4 linked regions of the Astyanax mexicanus genome follow. The protein of the gene in region 1 interacts with the protein of each later gene in a pairwise test. Links are inferred from orthologs where the notes say so. Each region holds a gene or a part of one and is shown in the gene's direction. Other genes may lie near its edges.

Region 1 (7,222 bases):
AGGGACGGAGGCAATATAACTAAACAAATACAAATATACATTTTTTTGGATTTAATGGCATTCTGTTGTTTTCTGCCGCTTTATTGTTTGTTGTTTGCACACTTTAACTTAGAGCTTCAGGCTTTTATCTTTATACCAAAAGGATCCACAAAGAGAACAACAAAGCCTAATAAACTTGCTGACAGACGCAGGATAGACTAAGAAGTTCCACTTCCCTATTCTCTGAAAAACACTGGTGATAAGGTTGTAGACCCCTGTTCATCCACCATTTCTTAAATTTCTTCTTAAATTAAGGAGTTTAATAGTGAGTTTGTCCCAGTTTGCTGCAATAACAGCCAGTATTCTTTTAGGAAGGCTTTACAATAGATCCTGAACCTCTGAGAGGATCAGTGATGTTGTTGGATGATCAGTTTTGCCACTTCATTTATACAAATAGCAATGGAAGGAGCTCCATCAGAGCAGATCACCACAAAATGCAGATCCACTGCTTCACAATGCTGATGTTGCTTGGCATATGACATGGAGAATTTCCCATTTTATTTGCAAAGCATTTAAGTAGAGCAAGTTCACGAATTAGAACACCGTCAGTATTCTTTTCGACATACAGCTCTGGAAAAAAAATAAGAGAGCACAGTTTCTGAATCAGTTTCTCTGATTTTGCTATTTATAGGTATATGTTTGAGTAAAATGAACATTGTTGTTTTATTCTATAAACTACGGACAACATTTCTCCCAAATTTCAAGTAAAAATATTGTCATTGTCAGAAAAGGAGAAATGGCTGAAATAAGACCTCCAATAATGCAAAGAAAATAAGATTATATTCATAAAGTTTTGAGAGTTCAGAAATCAATATTTGGTGGAATAACCCTGGTTTTTAATGACAGTTTTCAAGCACCTTGGCATGTTCTCCTCAACCTCTTACACACTGCTTTTGGATAACTTTATGCCACCTCTGGTGCAAAAGTTCAAGCAGTTCAGCTTGGTTTGATGGCTTGTGATCACCCATTTTCCTCTTGGTTATATTCCAGAGGTTTTTAATGTGATAAAATCAAAGAAACTTGTCATTTTAAGTGGCCTGTTAGTCTTGTTGTAAAAATAAAAAATAACACTGAGACACATTGGGTTGAATCTGTTGGTCTGGCCCTCCAAAACAGTTTCAGTGTATTTTATGGCCCCTTGGAAAAATTAATGACCACCCCTGGTCTCTCTTATATTACAACAAATTATCAATACTTTACAAAAAAATGAAATACAGGATATGTGTGTCCTTAGTCTATGTGTAGTCTCACTATGCAGACATTGAGCATTAACACACATAAGCTTTTACAGAGCACCTGTAAGCTTCTTAAACGTGTAGGTTAGATAGTTGCTATTCCTACAGTCAGAGATAGCACAAGTCTGTGTGTAGACTAGACGTGATCCTGCTTACAGTAAAAACATCTCTACCATACAAAAGACTAAATGGTCAAATATATTTAAATATATAAAAATGTACAAACAAACCTAAAAAGCAATTTTCCCAATTTGTTCTCTCTCTCTTTTTTGTCTTGGTAAAGGTATTTCCAGTCTTCAAAATGTTACTGTTAACGTAGCTAGTTAACAGTTAACTATCCTAGATATATAAAGTGTCCCAAACTTTTAGTTTAATACAAATTAAAATAACAGCTTAATATTCTTAAGTTTTTACTAAAAAATGTTTCAGAAAGATGGAACAGAAATAAAACCTCGTCATAATAACAAAAACACTGATTTCTGCAAACTGTAACAGTGTTGAGAAGGTTCAACTTCGAATGTTCCGTTCCACCTTAAAAAGCGCTATAGTAACGGTCTGGCGCCTTGACGCGAGGCTGTGTAAAACTGCTGCACTATTTAAGGTGGACCGGAAACTTGTAAAAAGCCGACATGGAGCTCCCCAGTGTTTACTGTTTACTTACCTTCGCTGCAGTCCCAAAGCTGGAAGAGCATAAACAGGACACACGCTGCCTGAATGCGAAGAGAAGACTGTAAAACAGCCATTATTTCTCCAAAATAATTCGGTGAATTGAGGATTTTTAACAGTCAGTTTCTGGTAGCTTTTCCTTATCCAGGCGTCGCCTTCCCAGCAATGGCAAAGAGCCCGCTGGACTCCACATAACGCTCCTATCAGGAGGTAAAAAATTAAAACAGCCGTAAAGAACTTCAGCTACCTGCTCATTTTCATCTCCGCTCTGCCTCTTTCAGTTAAAGCTTGCTGAGATAAGCATGTTCCTCCACACAGGCGACTGTTTTCAAAGTAATCCTCTCAGAAATGGGACTGCTGGCTTATCCGACAGAAAGCTTGTAGACTCATGAGGGTCGGACGTGAATTTGCAATGAAGCCCAGACCGACGACAGAGGTCGACAATGGGAACATCTCATTTAACAATGCCCTCTACACAAAGTGGCTCCCTACGCCCTAATCCCTACTCTCAGTACTGAGTGAATGTGTGGTTTTAAAATACAGTTATGAAAAAAAAAGAGACCACTTCAGTTTCTAAATCCGCTATTTATAGGTATATATCTGAGTAAAATTAACATTGTTGTTTGATTCTACAAAACTATGCACAACATTTCCCCCAAATTCCAAATAAAAATATTGTAATTTAGAGCATTTATTTGCAAAACATAAGAAATGGCTGAAATAACAAAAAAGATGCAGAGCTTTTTGACCTCAAATAATGCAAAGAAAATAAACTTATACTCATATTCAAGCTTTAAGAGTTCAGAAATCAATATTTGGTAGAATAACCCTTGTTTTTTCCACCAGTCTTATACACTGCCTTTGGATGACTTTATTCCACTCCTGGTGCAAATATTCAAGCAGTTTGATGGCTTTTGATCATTCACCTTCCTCTTGATTATATTCCAGAGGTTTACAATTTGGTAAAATCAAAGAAATGTATCATTTTTAAGTGGCCTCTTTTTTATTTACAGAGCTGTTTGTAAATATCACGATGCTTACTGTATTGCAATATATTAAATCATAACTGCAATGACACCTATTGTATCTCTAGGTTTTTGCTAATACACAGTCATAAAGATTATTGTACATGAATACCACCAAAATTTTCTAATTTTCCAGTGAAAAACAGGGATTTTTTTCTCAGTACCTTTAAGAGTTAGGGCTGTTTCAATAACAGCAACTGCAATATGCTACTGATACTTCTACTGGATACTTTGCTGTTTATAAGTTTGTTTTGATTACATTAACTGAACATACTTGTTTTTTGTTGGTAAAAGAAAAACACAGATACATAAAAGAAAAAAAAACAATATATAGGATGTTTGTGTTACCTAAACTACTTGTAAAGAAATCATGTCGTAAATTTATGAGCTCAAAAGATGTAAGAACCAAGCTTCCTAAGTGAACCTGAATGCAACATTAGACTGTTACTAATATTTATACTTAACAGTTCATGGATTTTCATGGGCAATCAAATACCTGACTGGCTGATAATTATGTGATTGCATGGAATTGGACATTAATGTAGAAAATACAGCTTAGGCTAACTTTTGAGGGTGACTGACTTCAGATGATCATTGGTTGAATATTTGCTGGTTCTTCGTCAAACAGATATTTAGCTGGACCAGGCAAAAATATCACTGGTTTAAATATGTTCAGGTAGTTGAGCAGTTGAATTCCACTACTGTAGCCAACAATAACTGGAACATCATTTAGGTGGTCTACCATGTGTCCACAAGGACACTACACCAATAACTTCACATTTACCTATCAATGTAAATGCATCAAATAAGGCTCTAAATGTATCAGAAGCTGCAAATAAGGATCCAACTACACTCCCATACAGTGTAAATGTAAGTTTCTCTAAATAAGAGTGTCTGTCAAATCCTTTAAGGTATTATCAGTTACACTTTTACTTCAGCTTGTTAACTATCTAGGGAACTACACGCCAATTTGACATGCACCCATCGGTGTCCCTAACATTTTTTTTTACTTCTCTAACGCAGTTTTGGTACAAAACTCCTGGGCTCGTTAAGTATAAGTACAGATAAATGCATTTTAACCCATGTCCACAAGCGTTATAGTTAACGCTACAGTTGTGTTTGCGTTTCTGCGGTAAGATCTCGAAAAGCTAGTATGACTAGGTTTCTTCGCCCCAGTTTGTTTGGGAAAGTAGGGGTGTACTCAAAACTATGTAAAATTGCATCTAGCGGTTCGATATTAGATCCGTCTTATAACTTTGCTAAAGCGTTGTTTCTGTTTAGCAACAGTAGTTAATCTCTATTATCAGTATTATTTTCCGATATTGAGTACGTATTTTTATCCCAAAATGAAAATAAGTCATAAAGTATGTGCGTTGTTTAAAACAAGTTGGTCATTTAACCCCGGTCCCTTACTCTTACAGCCAATAGCATTGCAGCTAGCAGCGCTTTGCGTACAGGCAGGCTTGTTGTGGGTACGTATACACAGCTATGCGCATTTCGCTTTTTATGGTTAACATTTTGATAACAATTTGCTGATATAACTTTTAATTCGTAATAAAAGCGATATAACATATATTTTATGCTCTTGTTTTTTTTATCGGCGAGCAGAACTGGCCGGTGGTTGAGGCATTAGCTCAGCACGGCGCTGAACCAAAGTGAAACTGAATTGGCTGTAGTTGGCGGTGTCCCAATCAGCAATATGGGCTCTGAGGGACTTGAAGAAGAAACCGTGGAGAAGATCCTGAACGGTGAAGGACTGGAGGTCACAGAATATGACTGGACCCCCGAGGAGCCGAAGCCTGTCACCCTTAGGTCGAATGTTTGTTATATTGTTGCTGCAGTCATCTTCAATGCCAAGGTAATGTGGGCTCATTCTTTAGGATGTAGATGTTAAAGTATGTTTTAATACATGAAATCCCCTAAAATAAGAGTGGTGTAGAACCTACATCCATATTTCCAATACAGGGGGTTCTAAACTGTGGCATGCCAGATAACCTTAGAAAATACATTATTTTGTGTTCAGTACTAAACTAGTTCAGCAGCCCACACTTCAGTTCTTCGGCCTTGTACGTCCTTAACTAGCTACAGTTAAAACATGATTAACATCAGTTTAATAGGCCCTGGGCTTGATGCCATTTGCTAGTAGCAACTCTTCTAAATTTAACTTTATTTAACTATATTATTTAACTTTTAACTTATTTTCTTATCTTATGTTTTTTCAACATTAAATCTAATGACAACTCACGATAAAATAATCACTATATATGCATGCACAGTTTTTTTCTAAAATATACAAAGCCATTTTTATCTTAGACCCAAACCTGAAATTGATAACATTTATTATCATGCAATTTATTAAACAAATGTGTAAATGTGTCCTGTTACTCTTTATATAAGTTAAATGACCGAAAGTAACAAGACTTAATAGTAAAAAGTATTTTACAGTTATTTTTTGTGCACATTTCTACATGTAATTTACTGGGGATGCAAATAGCACAGATTCTGCAGAATATACAGTAGAACCCTTTGGAACTCCACCGGCTATGCTAAACAAACCATTTCCAAGTAATGCACATTAGTTTCAGCATTAGGATTACTAGCTAATTATATAACATTGGTTAATTAAGTAGACACTCTAGTTCACAATATGGCACTCCTGATATTTTCCTTTGTGTCATGCTTTATAGAATAAGTGTATTGACCAGAAACACAAAAAATTTCGCCCTGCTAGCTTAAAAAATTATAAAGTGTGCAAGCTCCAAATAATTTGTGAAAAACACTGGCAAATGTGTTCCTGTGTAATTAGTTGCAGGTAGTAGGAGATGGCAAATCCCTAAAAACTAAAAACTAGTGTTATACATAGGGCCCATTTCCTTCTCCTATACTCTACTATCCCACTCAAATTTAACTACATGGCACTAACAAGGTCCTACACCTAAAAGCAACAATTAAATTACAAATGAAGACTTCATCTCACCCACAATCTCATCCTCAAATGGTCACATTGAGGTCACTCTGTCCATTTGCTGTCCAAGAAGAACACAGGTTTGATAAATCTGGCCTCAGATTAGATTAGAGTTACAGATCTCATAGTCCTCAAAAGCATCCAGATGGTACACATTTGGCCCAGTCTTTGATTAAAACAATCTATAATGCACTCTAAAGAAGGCTCTACATATAACTGTGTGTGTTAATGGGTTGTAGGGGGAGGTGCTGATGGTGCAGGAGGCGAAGAAGGATTGCTATGGGCAGTGGTACCTTCCCGCAGGCCGCATGGAACCGGGGGAGAGTATTGAGGAGGCTGTGCAGAGGGAGGTGAAAGAGGAGGCTGGAGTGGACTGTCAGCCGGTCACCATGCTGCAGGTGCAGGAAAGCGGCCCGCAGTGGATCCGCTTCACCTTCCTCGCTGAGATCACAGGTCAGGATGGTGTGAATCATGGTACCAGTACTAGAGAGGGTCTCTGATCTAGCTGAATATCTTTGGTCTATGATAGGTGTGGATCAGCGAGCAAATGATGATGATGATGACGATATTAGTTGGTAGGTTGTACATGTTGATTATTGTAATGGTAGTTAAAACAAAATTTCTAATAAGTTATAATATTATTATTCTATTATGGCAGATATCCCATTATTATGTCAAAAATCAGTACATGTTCCAGAGGTGGGAAATCAAAAAACCTTTAAAGGGTTTTTTCTTCCAACATTCATGTCAAAAGCCAGCTGACATTGTTTATAATGAGTTGGCTATTAATCCTTTATTAGCTTTTCAATTATTGTTAACCTAATAGTAATAAGCAATTTGAATTACTCTTCCGCATGTAAACATAATGCTTTGAGCCCTTAAATGGTGAGTTTAACTGTAGAATTGTGGAAATTAACAACCTCTAGGCTTAAAATACTGTACGTCTAGTGTCTAAACATTTAAAATACTTTTTATTCAGTACTACTTTTCTTTTAAATTAATCACAGTGGTATTTGGTAAGTGGAAGGGGACAAGTGGCGAAAACAGTGTGGTGTCTGGCAAGTCTTTACGAGAGTTTTTTCTGGCCACAACAGTTTTTGTTGGTTACCTGAGCAACAGTAGCGTTGCTAATGCTTCTACTTTGCTAGAGTGATTGCTAATGTGGAGAAACAGAACAGCAACCTCAGCCTCTATCTGCATATTCATGCATGGTTAAACCAAAGAAAGATGATAAAACCACTGCATTCTTCTGCTATGAAATGCACATTTTAAAAGTACTCTTATGTATGCTC
Region 2 (6,902 bases), on another chromosome or scaffold:
TATTTAAATAATTATTTGCTAGTAGTTCACATACACTAAAAAAGCAGCACTTTAGTTTTGAGGTAGATTTTAGCTGTTACGTTATTATTTTATACATCAGAGTTACTGTTACTGCGTTCCATTATTTTTAGACTAGTTAAGTTACTGCTTACAAAAAACGTTTTTTTTTTGTTTGTTTCTACTGAAATGTATGAACCTATAAAACATTTAAATTCATACTAAATTCTAACCTACCTGTAAATAACACACATCACACACTATTGTAATCATGTACATATTGAAATTCTTCATATAAATTTAACATCAATTTAAAATTCATATTTAATCAGTTTATTACTCTTCGTGTGTTATACTTGGCGAGGGGCGAATAAATATTTAATTCCTTACTGTGCGGATGCCAATATACCAATACACTCTTTGAATCTTAAATCTAAATAAAACTTCAATATTTATTTTGTTGCAGTAAAATATTTTGAAATCAATTGTAATATAAATGGTCATATCGCCAGGGATGTTGTTAGTATTCGCAAAGCACACTAAAATATCGTGCTTATTTTAGAGCCATATTAACCACCACTTGTTTATGTATTATGGGTATATACACAAATAAATGTATTATTACACATATGCTTTACTGAAACTTTATATTGACTATTGACTTCATACTCTAATTATACAAGTTACTATGATGGATAAATAGAGCTTATCTACAACTAGACTTCTCTAGATTTGAGGGCGCCCATTCATACTTATAGTAGGTCAACTAACGCGAGTTACTTAACAGCACATTTAGAAGTTGTGCTAAATCATTTGAACCCTTATAAAGGAAATCATGTAATATTTTTTCTTTAGACAGAAGCTGAAAGCGCTCATTTATCCACGAGAAGCATGAAAACGCCGTGCTCCAACAGTAATACTGAAACTCTAGCTACCAGCTATTTTCCACAGACAGACAATGAACGAGTGGAGCAGCCTCGCCATTCAAACTTTGGTAGCTAGCTAACGCTATCTAACCTAGCGTTAGCTGGTTAGCACACCATTTATCCAGCTAAGCTCCACTTAAATTGACTTAACGTTATGTGTTTCAGAGATATGTACATTGTTTTATAAAGAGCACGGGTAGAAGGTTAAATCGCATTTAACGTGGTTAAGCAACACAAACAGCCACAAATACAACAAACCCCAATAGACAGCTGGCTAGTAATCTGAACAACGCTAGAGCTAGCCTAGCTTAGCTTAGCTTTGCTAACTAGTTAACTAACCGCGCTAACTAACAAATAACTTGCTGCTAAAAGAAAATACAAAAGGAGACAAACGCACATACATTACCACACGTCCCCACTTAAACACCGTCTTAAATATTAGTAAATATCATTTTAAACTGATGTTTTACCTCCCGCTTCTGTTCTCGGAATCAGGCTCACTGTTCTGCGCTCAGCGTGTCCAGGCCTCAAACCGCCTGATATTTCCCGGACGTTCGAAGCCTACAATGCACTCAAACTCTATTGGGCAAATTCAACGCCAATCAAAGCAGCACTCGACTGTGATTCGCCAGTTCAAATGACAATCGATTAGAGGGCGGGCACGGAGGTTCGAACCCGCCCACTTTACCCGCTCGCTTGCTCACGCGCTGTCCGAGAGATGTCGCCATACACAAGCTGGTACCGCTTCTCATAATTAACACTGCAGTATTTAAGATTTATAGAAAAATAGAAAGATATTCCAAATTGGTATACACGCACAGTACTAGTCAAAGGGGTGCACACACCTTCTCATTCAGTGTTCTTTCTTTCTTTCTTTTTTTGCACTCAGCTAAGCTGACCTCCCCTCCAATCAACACAGTACTGAAACATACACAGTACTAAATCAAAAACTCACATGCACTCACACACCCCATACCTGCACTACTGCTTATATTTGCACTATTTTACACACTTTAATTCCCTTCTATGACTGTAACATTTAAATAACTGTTTACACTTGAACTGTCATTTCCTCTTTAATCCCCCCCATCACTATTGCACTATTGTCTTTTGACAAAATAGACCTATAACTACTCGATTTGTCTTGACTTGACCTGACTTGTATGCACTCATTCACTTTACCAGCCATAAGCTTCTATACCTCTATATTTGCAATAATGTTTTAATGCTTTTTATACTAGTACTGTCATTCCTTCTTCAATCCCCCATCATACCTAACTGGTACACTCTCCATCATGTACATTGCACTATGATCTCGTGTCTCTTGTCTGACATGTGTCTCTCATTCTTTTATCACTTGTATTTTTATTTTGCTGTACCTGCTGTAACATTCAGGGACAGTAACGTAATTTCAATTCTCTGTATGTCCTGTACATATGCAGTATCAACAAAAAAAAACCTACTTGACTTGACTACATTGTAGATTCATATTAAAATATCAAAACAATTAAGGGACACATATGGAATTATGTAGTAAACAATAAAAAAAGTTTGTCCTCCCCCTGTATTAAACATGAATTAATAGAAACTAAAAAACATTTAAAATAATCTAAAATATAAAATCTAAATAAAAAATGGACTGATGGATATGATGATTTTAAACTATTCCAGCTTTAATGATAATTTAATTGTCTTAACTTGTCACAACAGGACATTATTTCATAATTATGTTTTAATGAGCCAATAAAACTGGTTCTGAATCTGGATCTAAAATTATATCACATATAGACTTGGTATTACCGAGCATATTCACACATTATTTTGCATTATTATTTAATTAAACCATCATTAATTTATGTGAGCACCTGTCCACTTTAACCTCTCTAAACTCTAAAACAGGGGACTGGAGAACTGAACTGTCAGTCTGAGTGAGGCTCTGATTCCTCCTCTCCTATTGGCTAAGGCTCCAGTCAATCAACGGGGTGCCTGTTGCAACATTTTCTAAAATATGAAGATATATAATGCACAGATTGTGTTAAATACATAGATTAACTGTGACAAACACAGAATGGATAGGAGCAACAAAGAAACAAAAACAAATAATTAATAGCAAATAACATACAGTAACAAAATAAAATAAAAGCATTCATAAAAACACAATAAATAAAAATTAACATACATAGACGTCACAGTTTGAATGAAGACACTTTTAAACATAAAAGCAGGTTTTGTTTAATGACAACCACAATATATAATATATAAACTTTTCTAGTTTTTATAATCTAAAATTCAAGAAGATTTTTTTTTATTCAAATTTTCTCAAATTTTGTAACAAATGTAGGTTGGGTCAGTATAATGATTATTCATTTAATTTTTTGGCCGTTTTAGGCTCAATGCAAAAATAGAATATTGGTTGTAAAAACGTATTATTTCATATTTTTAATGTAGTGCAGTGGACAAGAAATACGTTTTTTCATATTTTTTTTTCAATTTTAGTTTTTTCATCTCTGCACCTCACAATCGTAAAATAGGAGTCTTTTATTTATGATTTTTGTATTTTGCAAGTTGGTTCATACAATCAATTTTTTTTTTCTTGAAATTCTGTTTGCGTAAAGGCTGATATGAATTATTGAAAAATTGGATTAAATCTCATTTCTTCTTCATTTTGAATTTAGTTTGATACAGTCAGAAAATTAAACTGCTAAATGTTACACTGACCTAGGTTGGATATTAGCAACAGATTTTAGTTGCAAAAATGGAAAAATCAGAATTTTTCCAGACATTATGATTGTGAGGGGAGGAAATGCAAAATTGGAAAATTTGAAAAATGGGTTAAATCCTATTTATTCACATTTATTTACTGTACTATACTGAATGGGAAAAATAAATAATGATTTTAGACTCAAACGGTCAGTAAATTGAACTAATAAACCTTACACTGACCGGGGTGGTCCCGGTGGGCGGGACATAGGCGGGACTTGGGCGGCGCCCATGAAGAGGCATCCTTGGAGGAAGCTGGGCGCTTTGACAGCTCGCGTTTTCACCTGTTCTTTATAGCCACGACGCTCCGGAACGGAGAATATGGATTTTATGGATCGTTTTATGTCGTTAAATATGTTTGGTTTCATGTAAGGAGGGTTTTTTTTGGTGTTGCTGGTCCGTTGTCACGCTAATGGCGCGAGCCACGCGTCCTTTTCTTCAGGTGGGTAGGCTCATTTTCGTTATTTATAACGTTAAAGGCGGGCTTATTTACTGTAATATTATATTTATTAGACAGAGATTGTAGCTAGTTGAATGGCTGGCTGTTTTGGGTGCTTTAAAATGCAGCTGTCGGCTAGAAAATGTGGCCTCTGTTCACATTCCTGCGCATCCACGCTCAGCATTTGCAGGGGGAGCGCTTGGCTTGGAAATAGCGTAAAAAATTACGCTAAGAAATCTAGGTATCTAAGCTAGTTAGCTAACATTACTAGCTAGTTAGTTAGCTTAGCTAGGTTAGCCATTGCTCTTTACAAGCTATAAAATGTTCTCCACCGTAAAGAAAAAATAGACGAGGCGTAGCTACACACCATACATAGCTGGCTAATATATTCGGCCTAATTTTCATAACGTTACAGAAGCGTAACATAACGAATTGGTCGTATTTTAACGTTGAAAATGACCTAACTAGCTAGCGTTAGCTGGTTCTGCGCGCGCCCCCTTAGCAACCACCAACGGTTGACCAGCTAACTAACCAAGCTAACCTAGGTAATGTTAGATTAGCTAGCGTTATCTAACTGGATATAACGTATCCATCAGCGGTTTTGTAAATGAGACACAGGCTATATACTAGCGTTTGGCTATAAAACAGGCTTATACACATTTATCATGTGATTAAGGACTAAAACTAGCTTTTTGTAATGTGATTCAAACCAGCTTTCCACCTTTTTCTTTCAAAAAACAGCTAACGTTACTATACAACTAAAATACACTTAGCTGTCCCTCGCAGGTTATCCCTGTTTTCTGCTCACTGTCTGTTCGTTAGCTAACTAGCTTATGTTGATGTAACGTTACAGCAATGGTTGCTGTGCTCTGTTTCATCTGCAGTCTACATCTTTTCCTTGGAGGATGAGACAGAGAGAGAGAGAGAAAGAGAAAGAGGGAGAGAATGAGCTGTCTTCTGTTTTTTTTTGCTGACCACCCTTTACTCCATATTTAGCTAACCCTCCTATTATCTCATACATCTTTCAATGCTTCTATCATTTTTGCTCTTCATATTTAATTAACGCTATTCAGACAACCAATCAAACTGAAAATAACTTGATAATATGTCATAGTAATATTCAGTTTCGTGTACACATTTTAAACAAGCCAGTGTTTTTGGGGTCAATCAATGATACCATGAAAGACAAGGCAAAGGCAAATATATTAAACATAGTCTCAGTGTGTTATCACTGTTTTCTCCTCACTGTCTCTGTTTAAATACAACAAGAGCAATCAGGGCTGTATGAATGTCACTTGATCAATCCACTTAAATGTATTGTTTAGATCAGATTTGGCTATATTGATATTTCACATTCATACAGGTAAGTAATTTGTATATGTCTGTAATGTGAGTAAATTGCTGTTTTCCTGTGATGCCAGTTTAACTGTTGTGCAGGAAAACAAAAAATTAATATATACATAAAAATCTACTTATTTACATTTGAGATAATTAGAAATTAAGTCACTCCAGCCTGGTAATCTCAAAGTGGCCAAAGAAAGAGAGATGGTATTTTACTCTGTTCTGTCTGACCAATTTGAAGAGACTCTGTGCCATGGGCTAAAGTGCTTCTTCTCTCTCCTCCCTCCATATTTAAGTCTCATTTTGGCTCCCAGTTAAATGGATTAATTATCCAGCTCCTCTGCTTGTGATTAGACTGACAGACAATCTAATCGCTCGCTTTGCTTCTGGGGAGGCCTGCCTTGTTTTGAGCCGACAGTGCTGAATGAAAAGGATGAAAAGGCTGCGATTAAGTTTTCTGTCTGCCAGCAGCTGATAAACTAAATTCCATCATGTGCTCCTGGGAGCCCAGTGTCTGTCTGTTCAGGTGAGGAAAATCCCAACACGCTTGCCCAAGCAGGCCTTTCCTGTGTGTTGCATGGATGAAGGTCCATAAAGCGTATTGTTGAATAAAGACTGTTTCTGGATTAGTCTATGGTGACCATGGTTTATGAAAGTGAGGGGGAATAAAGACCTAGATTACCTATATGTCTAAAAATTTGATTAGATGTGGAACCTATGTTAGGTGACCAAAATTCAGTGTCTAGACAATGTCTATTCCAATGTTAGTTTGGTGTAAAAAAAAAAAAAAAGTGATGACAGTTGACATTGACATTTTGATGGTTTTAGTTTTTAATTGATGTAATCCAATCCCTTTGTTTTCCTGACATCACTTCAACATCATACTGGTTTAAAATACATCAGTACAATGTGAAATTTACAATGTGGAATTCTAATGTTCTAATGTTAGATATAGGTATGTTTTGGGTTTAGTCATTGACAAAATTAAATGTCTGTCTAATGTGGCACTTAAAGTGACAATTCAGTGTTGGTTTTCCAAATATGTGATGTTTCCTAAATGTTGTATCTGTACAACATTGTGTTTTGACATCAGCAAAATATCCTTTTCCATCCAAATAAAACATTTGTCTTGCGACAGAGTCTGGCAGATATATGACATCAACACCAACACCCTTTTCTAATATCACTTTATACATTCAAGATTGTCAGACATACAGCAGTGTTTTTCTCACTTCCCTTAACATTTTGAGTAATACAGATACAGAGTGGGCACCATAACAAGAAAATTGTATTGTGATTGTCAGACTTCTTGCCCAGGTTTGCTGTGGTGTGTTTGAAAAGGAATTAAATCCAATCTTCTACAAGAAAGGCAGCATTGTTATCCATTATTCACAAACAACCCACATCGGTTACTGAGAAATGCAAAATCATATACAGTC
Region 3 (7,770 bases), on another chromosome or scaffold:
GTCTAACAACCACCTATTAAACCATAGAAACTTCTTAACAACACCAAAACAACCTTCTGGAATACCATAACCACCAGCTAGCAACATCATGAAAACAACCACAAATACCCAAAGCACTAATGTAGCACTTGCATGGAAGTGCAAGCCACGAAAGCTGTGAAACCATTCTGCACTTCCTTCAGGAAAAACACTTCTCACATTTTAATATGCAATTTAATAAATATAATAATAAAGACAGAACTTTCCATTTTCCTAAAAAAAGTTATTTACAGAAGATCATCAGCAAAGCTCTGGATATATTACATAGCATGGTCAAAATAAAAAGAAACAGCAGAAACAGGACACACTAAACAAATATGTTTTTGATTAAAGACTAAATGCTTGCTTTAGTTCCTATTGTGCTTCTTCTGATACATGTGGATTTCCACCACACTGCCACTAAAACAGCACCACTGGAGCTCAACACGCTTGGAGGAGAACTCCAACTGGCAGTTCTGTTACAATCAGTGACGTCAGTAAAGCGTAACTTACGGTAGTAACAGTGGAGGGAGGAAAGAGATGCACGTTTTCTAGCTGGAAATACAGACACTATTCTGAGTTTGTATCAGCTAAGGTTTCTAGTGAAGTGAATTTTGGCAAAATAATTAGTTATGTAGAGGTGGCAGTAACTTAAAAGTAACTTAAGCCTTATCTGTATGGGATTAGTTTCTCAGGGGGATATTTTACACTTCTACTCATTGATAAAACTCCTGCATCTGAAGTGCAATCGAAAAAACAGGAGGACCAGAGAATTTATTGGCTTTCTCTGTCACATGACATCACGTTCAGTAGCTCCTTCATTTCCACTCGCTATTGTGTTTACATGGATCTCCATGGATTTCTGTAACCTACTACAGAAAAAAAAGCTCTACTGACAAGAGCTGCCAGTGCTTAAATATCACGTTTCCTTAATATCTGATGATGATACATACTGGTCATGTTATGAGTAACTACAGAAAATATAATCCCTAATGCTCCTTTAAAAGGGAAGAGGAGGAGAAGGGCGCCGAGTGGTCCAGCTGTCTAAAGTGCTGCCACTATGAGCAGGAGGTCGCAGGTTCGAATCCCAGCTCATGCAGCTTTGCCATCAAGCTGCCGGCGCTCAGAGGGAGCCCAATTGGCCCTGCTCCCTCTGGGTGGGTAGATGGCGCTCTCTCTCTCCAGATGTCAATCCAACAGTGATGTCTGCAGCACAGGGCAGCACAGCACAGGGCGTCTGTGAGCTGACATACTCGAGTTGCTGCGCTTTCCTTCGCGCTGGCTGCTTGGCAATGCTGCATCAGCAGCAGCTCGAAAAGAAGCAGTGGCTGGCTTCACATGTATCGGAGGAAGCATGTGTTAGTCTTCACCCTCCTGGTGTGTTAGGATAGTGATTGGGGGAGTCCTAATGAGTGGGTTGGGTAATTGGCTGTGTAAATTGGGGATAAAATGGGGAAAAAAAATAGAAATAAAATTATAAAAAATAAAAAAGGAGGAGATTTTAGCTTGAACAACATTTTTATGAACACAATATAAAAAGGTGGAGACTTGCATGAAACATTCACCCAAACGTAACTACATTTGCTTTTAGAATTTCGTGGGGGGGATAACCATCACTAGAACATCCTTACACAAAGAAGTGGCTCAATTAGAAGGCTCGGGTGAAGCTACTGTGTCTGGTGCTCTTCAGGCTTTTGGGTTATCTCTAAGGCTAATAATGTCTTCCTTTATAGCCTCACAGCACTCAATGAGTCCACTTCACAGGTGCTTCAAATCTGAAAAGAACAACTTCAACCATATATTGAACAACAGTGGCTTTAAGTTCTGTGTTGCCCCATTATGTTGTTTAAGAGCTAGTCAGCTACGCTCTAAATATGCTCTAAATAACTCTAAATAGACTAAATTTACTGGAAAGTTAGCATAGTTGGCTACTTTATGATGAATGCCCACAGCAGTAGCTACTTCAGCCTGCATTCCCTTTTAAATATGATACAACCATAATAAAAAATACAAAATTGACAGAATATTCTACACAAAAGCAGAGAAAAAGTGTTCTTAAAACTGGGTGTGGCAGACAAAGACTGAAAACTGAGAAACCTGTTCAGAATGCATTCAAAGGTGGACTGGTGAGAGGGCAAGAAAGCTGCAGAACTGCATTAACTGCACAGATGTTTTTTTCAAAGGCCTCAGGGAGCTTTTTGGTCCATGATGATACAACTTACTTCAACAATCAAGAGCAAACCAAACTAGACCTCCAAAATCCTATATAACTATGTTCTAGTCATCTGTAGCTGAGTCTAATTTTTGACAGTTTAAGTAGCATTTAATGTGAGGGTGTTTTACCATTTTATGGATTATAAGAAGAATTTTAACAGTTTTATATGTTACCTCAACCTCTCTGTATTGTTTAAATAAAGATCAGTTGTTCCTTTTCACAGGTTTTTTTACAGGTCAGTATATTCTTTTTGTGTTTAGAATCTATGTGTGCACTAGATTTTGAAACACTTACACTGACTTACACTGATTACCCTGTTTTTTCTGAGCTGAAAAGTTGCTTTTTCTAAACTGGAAACAGATCTACCTAAAACTAGATATTCACAACAGAAACAAGAGAGACAAACCTTCGAAGCAATCCTTTACAAAAGACTACAATTTCATGTCTTCATAAAGAGAACAAATCCCAACTCATCAGACCAGAAAAACTGGATCTGTGACTGATTTGAATGACAAATCGGGCCTCAACAACACATTCTATAGCTTCAAGCATCCCTGCTTCCACCTCAATTTAGGGCATAGCTGGACTGCATAGCTGCAGCCAAGCTGCCCATGCTTATTCCTTTCCACCACCTAGTATGTAGAAATAGATAGAGTGCCAGAGTTTTTAAACACTGTGGACCCAGACGGTGTGCTTTATTAGACACTCCTACATGGCTGCTCCTACTTGTAGATGTAAAGTCAGAGACAAAAGCTGTTGATGCACAGTCTGTGCTCGCTGGAATGCTCACACATGTCTCCATACCTAAACCCTAATGAGCATCTGTGGGGCATCCTTAAAGGAAAGGAAGAGCAATGCAAGGTCATTGTCATGGAGGGTGGAAGAGGATTGTTGCCAGTGGTTTAGATATAAATGTGTCACATCTTCAGCTGTCACATCTGGTGTTGTAGGCGCTCCCTGTCCTTTCACACTTAGCTTCAACTGAGGTTCTCAGTTAGACAACTACAACACCCAGAATGCACCACCCACTGACATCACACACACTGCCGATCACGTGACACCTCACCTGCCCCGGCCAGGAAGTGCTGAATATTGATTATTACCTGCAGTATAAAAGGACTGCTCACACACACATCTGCGCCGCGTATTGCCTTGTTTCCCCCACATTACAAAGTGTTTATTCTGTGATTATTTTCTTGTGTATGACCTTGCCTTTTGTTTTTTCGACCTTGATTTTTGCCTTGCTCACTCTGTGGATTTTCGTGTATTACCTGGACTGTTTATCGTTTCTGTTTCGGATCACCTCTGATACTGCTTGCCTCGTGTATGATCTCTGGACTGTGTATCATTGCTGTTTGTGGATTATCTCTGATACTGCCTGCCCCGTGTATGACCATTGGACTGCCTCACTATCCGGTAATGGTCTTTACCTCCTGGTATCTGTTTACCGGTGTTGTTTACTCTTTGCTACTGTTTTATATAGCCTGTGGGTTTTCAATAAAATCCTTAACTGGTTCCGCGAGTGTCTGTATTCTGTACCACACCATGACATCAGTGTTTTGTAAATATATAACAAAATATTTACAAAAATGTAAAAGGTTTACTTCTTTTTTAGTGAGATACTGTGCGTTTTAATTTATTTATGTTTTTTTTTTTAGTTTTTGTAAATGGATTTTACAGAAGTTTGATTACCGATTTTTTTTAACTATAAGGCGCACTTAAACCCCTTTATTTTTCCCAAAAATCGACAGTGCGCCTTATGTATAAATTCTACCAGTCAGGTTGTAAGGAGCAGAAAAGCCATTCCTCTGAAGTACGGCAGAGGAATTATAAAGGAGTCTCAGTGAAGTTTTTCCAGTACTGAGGCTGAAGCAGTATTAGCTTTAGCTGCTACTACTGAGTATTTTGAACTGCATGTTTATAACGTTAAAACTACGTGGGACGAACTGGCTTACGGGCCCCTGGCTTACTGGAACTGTCGGACAGCATTTACTACCACTAAGCACTGCTAACCACGGCTAGCACTGCTGCTAATCGCACAAAAATATTGGAAATGTAAGCTTAATGTAAATAAACGGAAGTGCTTTACTCACCCAAATAAACCGTTTTCAGGAGAGAAATCTGTGCAGATTAACATCCAGCCTTATGTATAAAATAGACTAGAAAATAAACGTTAATTTCCTTATAATACAGTTCGTAAAACACAGTATTTAATGCATTGAAGTTTTTTCAACACCATTGAACTCAGTCCTCGGAACTCTGTTTAAACTTTATAAAAAGCAACCTAATTTAAGCGTACCCCAAATCAAGCCTAAGAAAGAGTCGGTTTGAAAGTTTGACGCAAATTTAGCTGGGAAAACGCGACCCCCTGGAAGTGTGTCTCAAAACGACCCCCAGGTAAAGAACCCCTGGTGTATAATATTAACAAAGACGGGGTCATAATGTTATGCTTGATTGGTGTAGGTCTTATTATTGCTGGGGCTGCAAACTACAATTCCCACAATGCACCGCCGCAGAGCTCGTGCTGTGCGCCTGATGTGCTTGTGTGTGAGGCTGGGGTTGGTGTTTGGGTGGAGAGCTGCAGCGCTGATTGGTGTGTGTGTGTGTGTGTAGTGTAGTGTAGTGTAGAGAGAGGGAAGTCAGCTGATCGAGCTGCTGCTGCTGGAGCTGCTGGAGGTGCAGAATGGCGAGCTCTCAGCGCTACAGCGGGAAGGTGGCGCTGGTGACCGGGGGGTCGAAGGGTATCGGCAGGGGGATCGTGAAGGTTTTCGGTAGGTACTGGAGAGCAGGTGCAGGAGGAGGAGGAGGAACAGTGTGAACGGAGAGTGTGTATCTGTGTATAAGAGTGTGTGTATGTGTGTGTGTGTGTGTGTGTGTAACGAGGCTCTCCTGCTGTTTACCTTTGCAGTGCAGAATGGGGCTAAAGTTGTGTTCTGCGCCAGAGGAGGTAAATACACCTGTTTATTACACATTTGTACACCTTCTACTTTCTGCCTGCACTCATATTTATATTTTACCTCTTTACCTCTTTCCCTTATTCATTACGTCCTCACTTCCTGTCTATAGAGCTGCACACATTTATCTGAATACTTGTTTATTACTTAATAATATGTACTTAATATACACTTCTGTGTGTTTATTCACATTCTCTCTTCCTTATCTATTCACCTGGTCTACGCCTCTCTTCAGGGTTATGTTGTAAAGGTGTTTATTCTGTACAGAACCCTGTCAATTCAGGAAACCGATTCAGTGTTTAAATAGTTCTATGGTTTTCTAAATACAATAAAAATCTCTAGTTGATTTAAAAAAAAAATGTTTTCTTCGCATCTCTGCATCTTTTTTGTTATTTCAGTCATTTCTCATTTCTGGAAATAAATGCTCTAAATGACTATATTTTTATTTGGAATTTGAGAGAAATTTTGTCCATAGTTTATATAATAAAACAACAACGTTGTCTCTTAACTTTTTCCAGACATCTCTCTCTCTTTCTCTCTCTCTTACTCTCTCTCTCTCTCTCTCTCTCTCTCTCTCTATATATATATATATATATATATATATATATATATATATATATATATATATATATATATATATATAACTCAACATTTTAAGGCAACTTACTGCACTAAATTTTTTTGTTTTGTTGCCAACTCAAACTTTTAAATTTTTTTGAAGAAACACACCACCAGTTGTGCAAACTAGAAAGCTTTAGTTTAGATTTAGTTTACAAATATTAAAATAGGTCTCATCAACTTAAAAACTCACTTTGTGTTTTTAGTTGGCTTCATTTAAGTACTACTAAATGTTTACATTAACACGTTTTACATTAATTAAATTAATACAGTGGGCGCAAAACTATGTTTTTTAATGTACGTTAGGAACTGGAAATTCATGATTATTACATATCTGTATTATTACCAGTCATGTGACCCATTCAGCATATAGTCTATATACACTCAGCAACACAAGGCATAGCAACTTGCTTTTTTAGCCTTTAACACTGAGGACAGGGTTAAACACATATACAAAATACAAAAGCAGGGGGCCTGTGGAGAATATTTACACCCTAATGGTGAGTTAGAGGTGGGGGACATTTGAGGAGCTTAAAATAATTTAAATTTAAATTTATACTGTTCACATCAATATCAGTGTTATCAAATATTGGATTTTTGTCTATAGCATACAGAACTAATGTGCATATTTATTTAATCACTTTATTACTGTGTTATTTTTATTAGTTACCTAGCTTAGTATTAACTTCTCAATAAGCAACCAGAGTATTTTACTTTTGAAAAAAATCTGTTATTTTTCTTTACTGTTGTAAGTTATTATTTTAACTGACTTTGTGAGATTTTAATGATTTTAATGTAAAAAAAATCTGTCCATTAATAATAAAAAAAGAAGAAACAGGAGAAACAGTTGATATAATTCTGTTCAGTTACTGGAAGGGCTTAATTAGTGCATGTTTATTTATTTGTTACTTATTACCTCTTTATTGAAATATCTAAAACCTGCCCTCTCTCATTAGCTGATGCAGGTAAAGCGCTGGAGGCGGAGCTAAATGCAGCAGGTCCAGGCTCCTGTCTCTTCCTGCCCTGTGACATATCCAAGGAAGAAGATATCAAGGTGCACCATCTTAGCCTTTTATGAAACCCATGTCCTCCCCTTATCCTGTCTTCCCTGGCTTCTGTATACTACTGTCTGTTTACCTTCTGTCTCTCTTTTTATTCCTCAGAGACTGATCACTGTGACTGTGGAGAAGTTCGGACAGATAGACTGTTTGGTTAATAATGCTGGCTGGCGTGAGTACTTGACCCCATCCTTCCGTTTAATTTATTTGCTTAGTCAAACTTTGGAGATTCCGCTTTGTTTCACTTCTACAGAAAGCAAAGTTTGACCCAGATCTAACAGTGACGCTCCCTGTCCCTCTCGCTTTCAGATCCCCCCCACAAACCCACGGATGAGACAACCGCAGAGGAGTTTAAAGACCTGCTCAACCTCAACCTGATTAACTACTTCCTCGCATCTAAGGTGAAGCTCCCAAACCAGTCTCCCCTGTCTAACCAGTACTACCAACTTTCTGTCTTGTGATCAATAGGTGTCATGCACTGCATATTTTAGTGCAGAAATCTATATAGTACTGTGAATAATATTTGCCCCCTACAGATTTCTTTAGTTTTTGCTTTTTTATCATATGTACATTTTTCAGATGATCATTTACTAAGGGAAAAAGTCTATAGAAACAACCTCACTAAGACACAAACAGTCTATAATGTTTATAAAAATACACCTAAAAGTAAAGGTAAAGGTAATAAATGAATTTGTATTTGATTACGTGAAATAAGTATTTGATTCCCTACCAACCAGCAAGATTTCTGACCCCAAAAATGCACACTGTCCCAGGTTGCACAAAATTTAGTCCTGTCCCTTTAAGAAAGTACTCTTAATATATCACCTTGTTATGTGTAAAAAAAAGACACCTTTCCATTCAAACCTCTCGACCACCATGTTCAGGACCAAAGTGCTGTAAGGTAAGG
Region 4 (7,624 bases), on another chromosome or scaffold:
TTTGTCGATTATGTTGGCTAATTGCTGCAGCCCTACCGCCTACACTGCAGCCAGTGGAGGCCTCTAGTGGAAGCCTCCAGTATTACATGTAGCACACAGGCAAGAATATCAACAGACACATTCACAGTGCGTCCAATTGTTTGCGCAAATTGGCATAATGGAGAAACAGCGAGTATATCTCTAGCTTTAGTGTAAATCCTGAATCCTGCAGTTAGTATTAATCTTAATCTGTAGCTCTGGTACACTTCCCTGCATTTACTAGTGTGACGTTCTCAGTCAAAGATTTAGATTCTGTTCCTTGTGAAGCTAAACAAAAGAAAATCAACCAAGCTACTCATTTGTGAACCTTTTTTATTTGTTATTTGATCATATAATGTGTGTTTTTTTTTTAAACTGAGTTGTGTTTTGAGTTGAAAACTAAATTGCAGTGCATTAAAAAACAGTAAAAAGGCAAAAACATCAATGTTTCACTTATTTGAATTGTCAGAGAAAGACAAAAAAAGTTTAAACAAGATGTATCATTGCCTTTAAATAGTAATAGTGTATATAGTCGCTGTCCAACGAAAAACAAGTATCTCCAAAACAGCAACTTTACAGGAAAGAGAAAAAAAACTTATAAAAAGATATAAAAAGGGTTAATTTCAAGTCATTTTGAAGTATTTCTACTGGTCTTTTTATCAAGACATTTTGGCACAGTGTAAAGGACAGTTTGTCTGTTTAAATTACGTAATGAACTAAATATCAACAAAAATGGAGATACTTGTTTGTCAGTGGACGCATACAGTACATTATACAGAGTTAAAGCTGTGAAATTAATCCATAATACAGAACATTTACAACACAAGTGATGCTAAAAGAGAGCTTTAGATACCACTACTGGGTATTACCTTTCATAATATAAATATATATACAGTCTACAATAATCAGCCTGAATATTCAAGTAAATAACATTGATTATCACATTATATTGGCACTTTTTATCTTATCTACATATTAGGCAGCAAGTGAACAGTCATTTCTGGAAGTTGATGTGTGGGATGCATGGAAGTTGGGCAAAAGCTATACTGATGGATAGATACATTGAGTCAGAACATCTTTAAAATATTATGTAGGTTTTGCTTGGTGTTCTTGTTATATTACATATGCTATATATAAATATGCTATATTATTTCTTACAGATTACCAGAATTTTCATTGTCTTTATTAGTGATGCATGTGTGGCTTCATGGTTGTTGGTTCTCCTATAGCAGCACACAGGTTTTCTTGTCTTTGAAAGGGTTTGATGAGGCAGAGATGCCGGTCAGCAGTGGATCTCCACGCCGGTTCTCCTGACAGTACTGAACCAGCTGAGCAGCTGCAGCCGAAATCTGCAAGAAACATGGCATTACATCACTATCACTATCACCAGACGCCCAGCCAATAGGGTTAAGGTTATTACTTAGCTTATTTCTTTTTGTTTTTTTAGGAAGAAGAATCAAAATTTCAACAATACATTTTCTTCTGAGACCCTAAAACAGTAGCATCAAACTTTCTTTCATTCAGAAAGCCTTAAGTCATTAAATTTAGAGTTTTTTATTTTTAATTATTCTAAAATGTTCTGCATTGCAGATTAACAATAAAGTCATCATTCTACAAAACTATGAAGAAAATCATATAGAATTATTTAGTAAACAAAAAAGTGTTAAACTAACTAGAATATGTTTTATATTTTAGATTCTTCAAAGTAGCCCCTCTTGGCTGATTTTTTTTCAGTCAGCTTTATGAGGTAGAGTCACCTAGAATTCAGGCTGGGTGTCATGTCGCTTTTCGCGGGAGTTCTTCTTCTGGCCATGTCATGTGTCTTTACATACTTGGGTCACAAGTACAGCCTCTAAAAGAGGATCCGGCTCAGTTTTACTGAACACGAGCAGCTGGTGGAGCAATGGAGACTTCAGAAGGGGAAACTCAGAGCTCAGTAGCTCATTCATTTACTCATAGTAAAAGCAAAGAAACGAAGGAGTGAAGTTTCTGACTGAGCGCTCTCTCTCTCTCTCTTTGACTGAACATAACCTGGAATCGGATTCATCCGCTCTGAAAGGAGACCCCATCACACCCGCCCAGTTTAAAATGACTTCCGCATGCTCGGTGCAATTACCCACTCTCACCAGAGAGGGCATTAAATCCCCCAAATCCCAAAATTTACAGACATGAGCTTTAAAAAATGAAGGTCAGTCAACCCGAAACATTTCAAAAACTTTGAAACTAAACTTAAACGCAGTCGCAATGTCGCAAAAAATGTTCCGATGGAACTGGCACTAATCAGGACCACTACATTTATGGAAAATGAAAGGTTCATCAAAGTTACCAGCCTCAGAAACCACAAGTAAGTGCTTCAAAGAGTATTCTTTTGGTTTGTTTAACACCTTTAAGTTATTACATGACCTTTTGCCTACCTTGATCCTCTCCAGGCCGGCCTCCAGTCTCAGCTGTTCCACCGCTTTCCTGGCCTGGAGGACGGTGTTGCTGCTGTACACCTTCCCAGCCTCCATCCTTCAGCTCCTCATCAGGTCATCCAAGTCCTGCTCAGATATGGAGTGTGATATGGAGATATGGAACTGAGAGTCGTGGTGGAGGTTATTTAACCTGTGCCCACCCTCCATCCCCCCCGGGCACCTGCGGTCACTCTGAAGACCACTTCACACAGCTCTGTGATGTGGCCGAGCTGAAAGGTCACACAGGCAGGTGTGGAAAGGTCAGGCCCACATCACACACTATCAGAGGAGAAGCCCTGGAGGGATATATAGAGCTGCTGACCTGTGTGTGTGTGTGTGTGTCAGTTTAGCTTTTACCCAGTTTATTCATAATGGATTTTTTATAAGATAAAAATAATTATATATGTATAAATATTTTAACAACAGTACAAATGTTATAAAACTAATACATTAAATTCATTAAACAGATTAAAAATCTAATTCAGACATATCAGAACTTTGCTACATTATATCATTGTTTGCTACAATTCCCAAATAACCTGTTTTATTGTTTATTGTATCCTTATTGTAATATTGTTGATAAGACAAAATAAAATAAGATAAGATAAGATAATTCTTTTATTAGTCCGACAGTGGGGAAATTCATAGTGTTTCAGCAGCAAATGGATAACAAGGCACTCATTACAATAAAATAGATCAAATAAACAATATAATATATACAATATAAATCATAAAAAGTCAAAAACTCTTTAGATTGTAGATTGTATTTACAAATAATTGCACATTGCACATTGCCTCTTAATTGCATTGGGATAAAGAAAAAAAATATTTTACATTATGTTACACAAAAAAACATATATTTTCTATAAGTATGTAGTATTTAAGTGTGTGTTTATGAAGTGTGTATATGTGGGTTGGTTTTAGAGTCTAACAGCAGCAGGAAAGAAAGACCTGCAATACCTGGATGAATTATATTAACGCATATACTTGTTAACAGACATTTTGCTAAATGAGACATTTTCTTTTAAATGTCACATTAGTAAATGCATGTCAAAAATAAGAAAAGGCTCAACATTTTTACAGAAATAAATATGTTTATAAATATTTTTTTATTTGTTTTTTTATGTTTTGTTGGTTGTTTTATGCTTTTTTTATTATTTTTTTTGTCTCCCAGATCCCTTTTCAGAGTGCTAACTGAGCTTAACTAAAATTATATATTCAGAACTAACTGGTAAGACATTCTTAAAATTATCGATAGACAGTAGACAGACTCTATAGACAGACTCTAAGTGCTCTATTAAATAAGTGACTTGAGTGTTCTTTAAGCCCCCTTTTATTCTGAATTATTTAATTTCTTCTAAAGCAAATCTTATATTTTTTGCTTGTTTTTCAAATACTTTTACCATATCTTTTGTTTTTTGTTTTTTTGTTTAAGTTCCTTATTTTAGCTCTCCTGATTAAATACTTGAGTTTCGTTTTAATTAAAATTTTTAGTCCCTTCAAGTTTTAAATGCTCTGCGACATTGAAAATTAGGGTTGCCCTTAATGTATTACAGAGTAAAAATAAGGGTTGACCGGTATCACTAAATTATTGTAACTTTAACTGTTTTAGTTGATTTTTTTTTTACCTTTTTTTTTACCTTTTACTTTTTATTTGATTTATTTTGTCTTTTTATTTATTTCATTTATTAAACTTTTGGCCTTTTACCTTTCATTATTTATATTGAAATTTCATTCATTGAACCTTTTATTTATTTTTTATTTTATAAATTGTACTATTGCAATTATTTTATTATTTTATTGCTTTACATTTTTGCCTGTCAACTTAAGCTTTTATTCTGAATTATTTTACTTCTTCTTTATTCAATTTTATATTGTTTGCTTGTTTTCTAATAATTTTTCCATTTATTTTTTATGATATTGTTTATGAAGTTTCTTGATTTTAATTCAAATTAAATCTATTTTTTAGTCCCTTCAAGTTTTAAATGCTTGCTGCATTAAAAATGAGGATTGCCCTTAATATATTACTGTGTGAAAATAAAGAATTAGAAAAATATATAATTAAAAAATTGATTGATTTAATCTAACGTTTATAAAAACTGTTCGAACGCGAAATCCGTCTCCCTCCACTAGTTTGTCCCAACGTGGCCGCCGTACTTTGTAGCAACAACGTGGGATCAGTGTGAGTGATGAGGCTGCAGTGTAGCTTCATCTGCTCCTGAACACAGATAACAGATAAATACAGATCAATACAGATAATTAATAGCTCCAGCTCCTGATCCGGATTCAGCTCCTGCAGGGTAAGTGTGTGTATCAGTCAGTAATAACTGCACAAGAAAGCTGTTCTCAGATCAGTGTTTATTATTACAGTCCTGTTAGCTTTAGCTCATTTAGCTGCTTATATTACTGCAGCACTGCTGCTGCTGTATCAATAACACACCCATAATAAAAGTCTGTTTTTATTTTTATTAAATAAATAAAAGCCTTTTTTAACCATTTCTCTAGAAGTGTTCTTGTCGTTATCGACACTATTATTCATTCTCTCAGTCATAAGAACCTGTGCAGAGCAAATTTTTCATTCCACCTTAAATGATGCAGCAGATCCTGTGTAGACATATAGCAAGCATACACAAGCCTGAGTGTATCCAGGGCTCTAGTTAAGGTGGAATAGAAAATTCCAGTAAGAAAAAATAGTCAAATACAGCCTGGACTTGTACAGTATACACTACCTGTCAAAAGACACAATTTTTTAGTAAATGTTTTTGTATTTTTATAATTTTCTACATTGTAAATGAATTCTAAAGTGATCCAAGCTATGGAGGAACACATAAGAAGTCATGTAGTAACTTAAAAGTGTTAAACAAACCAAAAGAGGTGGCTCTGATGCTTGTTGCATCATTTCTGAGGCTGTAAACTCCTGCTCTCCTGATAAGAGCCAGTTTCATCATTGTGTTTTCGATTGTCTTTGCAACCGCACTTGAGTATACTTTTAAATTTCTTGAAATTTCTCGTATTGACTGACCTTCATTTCTTAAAGTATTTTTTTATTTACTTAGTTGAGTAGGTCTTGCTTCTCATAATATGGATTAGAACATTACTCAAATAGGGCTATTCAGTGTACAGGTGCATCTCAAAGAAATTAGGTTTTCATTGAAAAGTTACTTTTTTTATTTCAGTAATTCTATTCAAAATGTGAAAATTACAGAGTGATCTATTTAAAATGTTTATTTATTTTCTTTTTGATGATAATGACTTACAACCAGGAACATTAGAATATTATATTGTAAGACCAATTGGTATTTTTGGCAGTGCGGGCAGTGTTCCAGGTCCTGCTGGAAAATGAAATCCCTATCTCAATAAAATTTGTCACCTTTTGACAAGTACAAAAAGAACCCCTGAATTTAAGGTTTGTTTGAATTATATTCTACATACTCTGAATATTTATTTGCCATTTCCTGCAGTTTGTTATGTGAAAAAGAGCCTATTGTTCGACTAACGCATGGTGAAGGTAGATTTTGTGTAACCAAGCACACAAGCCTAAGTGCTGCATTTAAGGTGGAATTGAAAATCGAGTAAGTGAGAGAGAGAAAAAGACAGAAAGAACATTGGATTTTTTACTGTACAGCAGTAATCGGAGTGACCAGTGTTTACCACCATGTTACAGAAAACACCACAGCTGACAGTCAGGAAGTCTCTGCTACCAAATAGTTTTTAGATCAAATTTACAGCACTTAAAATATCAGTTATTGTAAGAGTAACCTAACCTAAATATCTGTAATGGTGACAGTATTACTGTACTCTGTGCATTATCTACAGATGGCGGACAGTGTGCCCTCCGTGGCCAGGGATGCGGTGCTTAAGGAGAGCGCCGCTCTGCCGGAGGACGTGCCGCGGATCCGAGGCTACGACTTTAACCAGGGGGTGGATCACCGAGCCCTGCTGCACTCCTACCTCACCACAGGCTTCCAGGCCAGCAGCTTCGGCCTGGCCGTGCAGGAGATTAACAAAATGGTGAGACTCTTTCCCTCTGTCTACTTTACTTGATTACTGATGAACGTGTCTTGTGCAACAGAGGAAACTCTTGCTTATCCTTTCCTGGGGTGGTCCTGATGAGAGCCAGTTTCATCATAACCTTTCTGTGATAGTCTTTGTAGTGACTGCATTTGAGGATACGGATTGACCTTCATTTCTTAGTCATATTGTTTTAGTAGTACTTGAGTCATAATAGTGTCCAAGTGGCCAAACCTTTGACTGGTTCTGTATATACACTCATTTGCATAAACATCCAGTGTAAGCAGCATTTAACATCTCCCCAACTTCCCTCTATATGTTAAAAGTAGGGATACACTAATGTAGAAATTTTGGGCCAATATTACAAATGTATACACATATATGTACATATTTATAACTCACAGGAAGACCACAAATCCCACTACAACTTTTCCGGCATACAATAGATAGATCAGTAAATATTGGTTTAAAAAAAAAGTAATTTTTAGCCAGTACTGATATAATTTTAATATCATTGTTCATCTCTACTTAACAGTAATGGATGGAGCACCATCAGTCCAGAGAATACAGTTCCACTTCAAATCTCAATGCTGTTAAGATTGGTGTCAGAAGTGGTTCATTCTATGTTTAGGTTTAAACCCCGCCCACTAGACAGCAGTGTTCTGATTGGGTACAAAATAAAGTTTAAACTTACTTAGTTTTATATTGCCTTGCTAACAGTATTGCAATATCTTGCTATATATATATATATATATATATATATATATATATATATATATATATATATATATATATATTTTTTTTTTCTGTATTTGTAAAGTGTCCTTGGGTTTGGGAAAGGCGATATATAAGTTGAACTTATTAAACTTGTTAAAATGATTATTATTATTATTATTATTATTATTATTATTATTATCTGCATTTTGATATGTATCATATCGCCAAGTTCTTGCCAATACACAGCTGAAAAAGAGTAAACCACAGACATTTGGACATAAATCTTATGTTGTCTCTTCTGAAGGACCTGTAATACCTGTGCTGTGTTTAGATTGAGAAGAGGCTGGAGGTGGTGGAGGAGCCGGAGGAGGAGCAGCAGGACGCTGGTGACTCTCAGCAGGGTCGTTCAGGCTGTACCATCTTCT

What was found.
Region 2: the proteins of nudt18 (region 1) and evi5l interact in binary tests that used the Homo sapiens proteins (3 or more experiments, as listed by UniProt). The two-hybrid records come from large-scale screens. The link is inferred for Astyanax mexicanus from reciprocal best matches to the Homo sapiens genes NUDT18 and EVI5L.
Region 3: the proteins of nudt18 (region 1) and hsd17b14 interact in binary tests that used the Homo sapiens proteins (3 or more experiments, as listed by UniProt). The two-hybrid records come from large-scale screens. The link is inferred for Astyanax mexicanus from reciprocal best matches to the Homo sapiens genes NUDT18 and HSD17B14.
Region 4: the proteins of nudt18 (region 1) and dhps interact in binary tests that used the Homo sapiens proteins (3 or more experiments, as listed by UniProt). The two-hybrid records come from large-scale screens. The link is inferred for Astyanax mexicanus from reciprocal best matches to the Homo sapiens genes NUDT18 and DHPS.

The regions. Positions count from the first base shown.
Region 1 is NC_064419.1:30,331,517-30,338,738, reverse strand, and holds the start of nudt18 (8-oxo-dGDP phosphatase NUDT18), read left to right. Parts: upstream 1-4,219; 5' UTR 4,220-4,437; intron 4,438-4,573; 5' UTR 4,574-4,664; coding exon 4,665-4,823; intron 4,824-6,169; coding exon 6,170-6,383; intron 6,384-7,222. Other genes in the region: adam9 (disintegrin and metalloproteinase domain-containing protein 9), read right to left, coding at 1,936-2,017. UniProt on the Homo sapiens protein: Mediates the hydrolysis of oxidized nucleoside diphosphate derivatives. Hydrolyzes 8-oxo-7,8-dihydroguanine (8-oxo-Gua)-containing deoxyribo- and ribonucleoside diphosphates to the monophosphates. Hydrolyzes 8-oxo-dGDP and 8-oxo-GDP with the same efficiencies.
Region 2 is NC_064428.1:27,241,986-27,248,887, forward strand, and holds the start of evi5l (EVI5-like protein), read left to right. Parts: upstream 1-3,895; 5' UTR 3,896-4,125; intron 4,126-6,902. UniProt on the Homo sapiens protein: Functions as a GTPase-activating protein (GAP) with a broad specificity.
Region 3 is NC_064426.1:17,506,285-17,514,054, reverse strand, and holds the start of hsd17b14 (17-beta-hydroxysteroid dehydrogenase 14), read left to right. Parts: upstream 1-4,766; 5' UTR 4,767-4,916; coding exon 4,917-5,004; intron 5,005-5,141; coding exon 5,142-5,180; intron 5,181-6,761; coding exon 6,762-6,859; intron 6,860-6,968; coding exon 6,969-7,035; intron 7,036-7,172; coding exon 7,173-7,264; intron 7,265-7,770. UniProt on the Homo sapiens protein: Catalyzes the NAD(+)-dependent oxidation of L-fucose, yielding L-fucono-1,5-lactone, which rapidly converts spontaneously to L-fucone-1,4-lactone. Can also act on D-arabinose and L-galactose, with lower catalytic efficiency. Does not use NADPH.
Region 4 is NC_064426.1:39,364,001-39,371,624, reverse strand, and holds the start of dhps (deoxyhypusine synthase), read left to right. Parts: upstream 1-4,623; 5' UTR 4,624-4,771; intron 4,772-6,287; coding exon 6,288-6,482; intron 6,483-7,530; coding exon 7,531-7,624. Other genes in the region: guanine nucleotide-binding protein G(I)/G(S)/G(O) subunit gamma-7, read right to left, coding at 1,242-1,367, 2,433-2,528. UniProt on the Homo sapiens protein: Catalyzes the NAD-dependent oxidative cleavage of spermidine and the subsequent transfer of the butylamine moiety of spermidine to the epsilon-amino group of a critical lysine residue of the eIF-5A precursor protein to form the intermediate deoxyhypusine residue.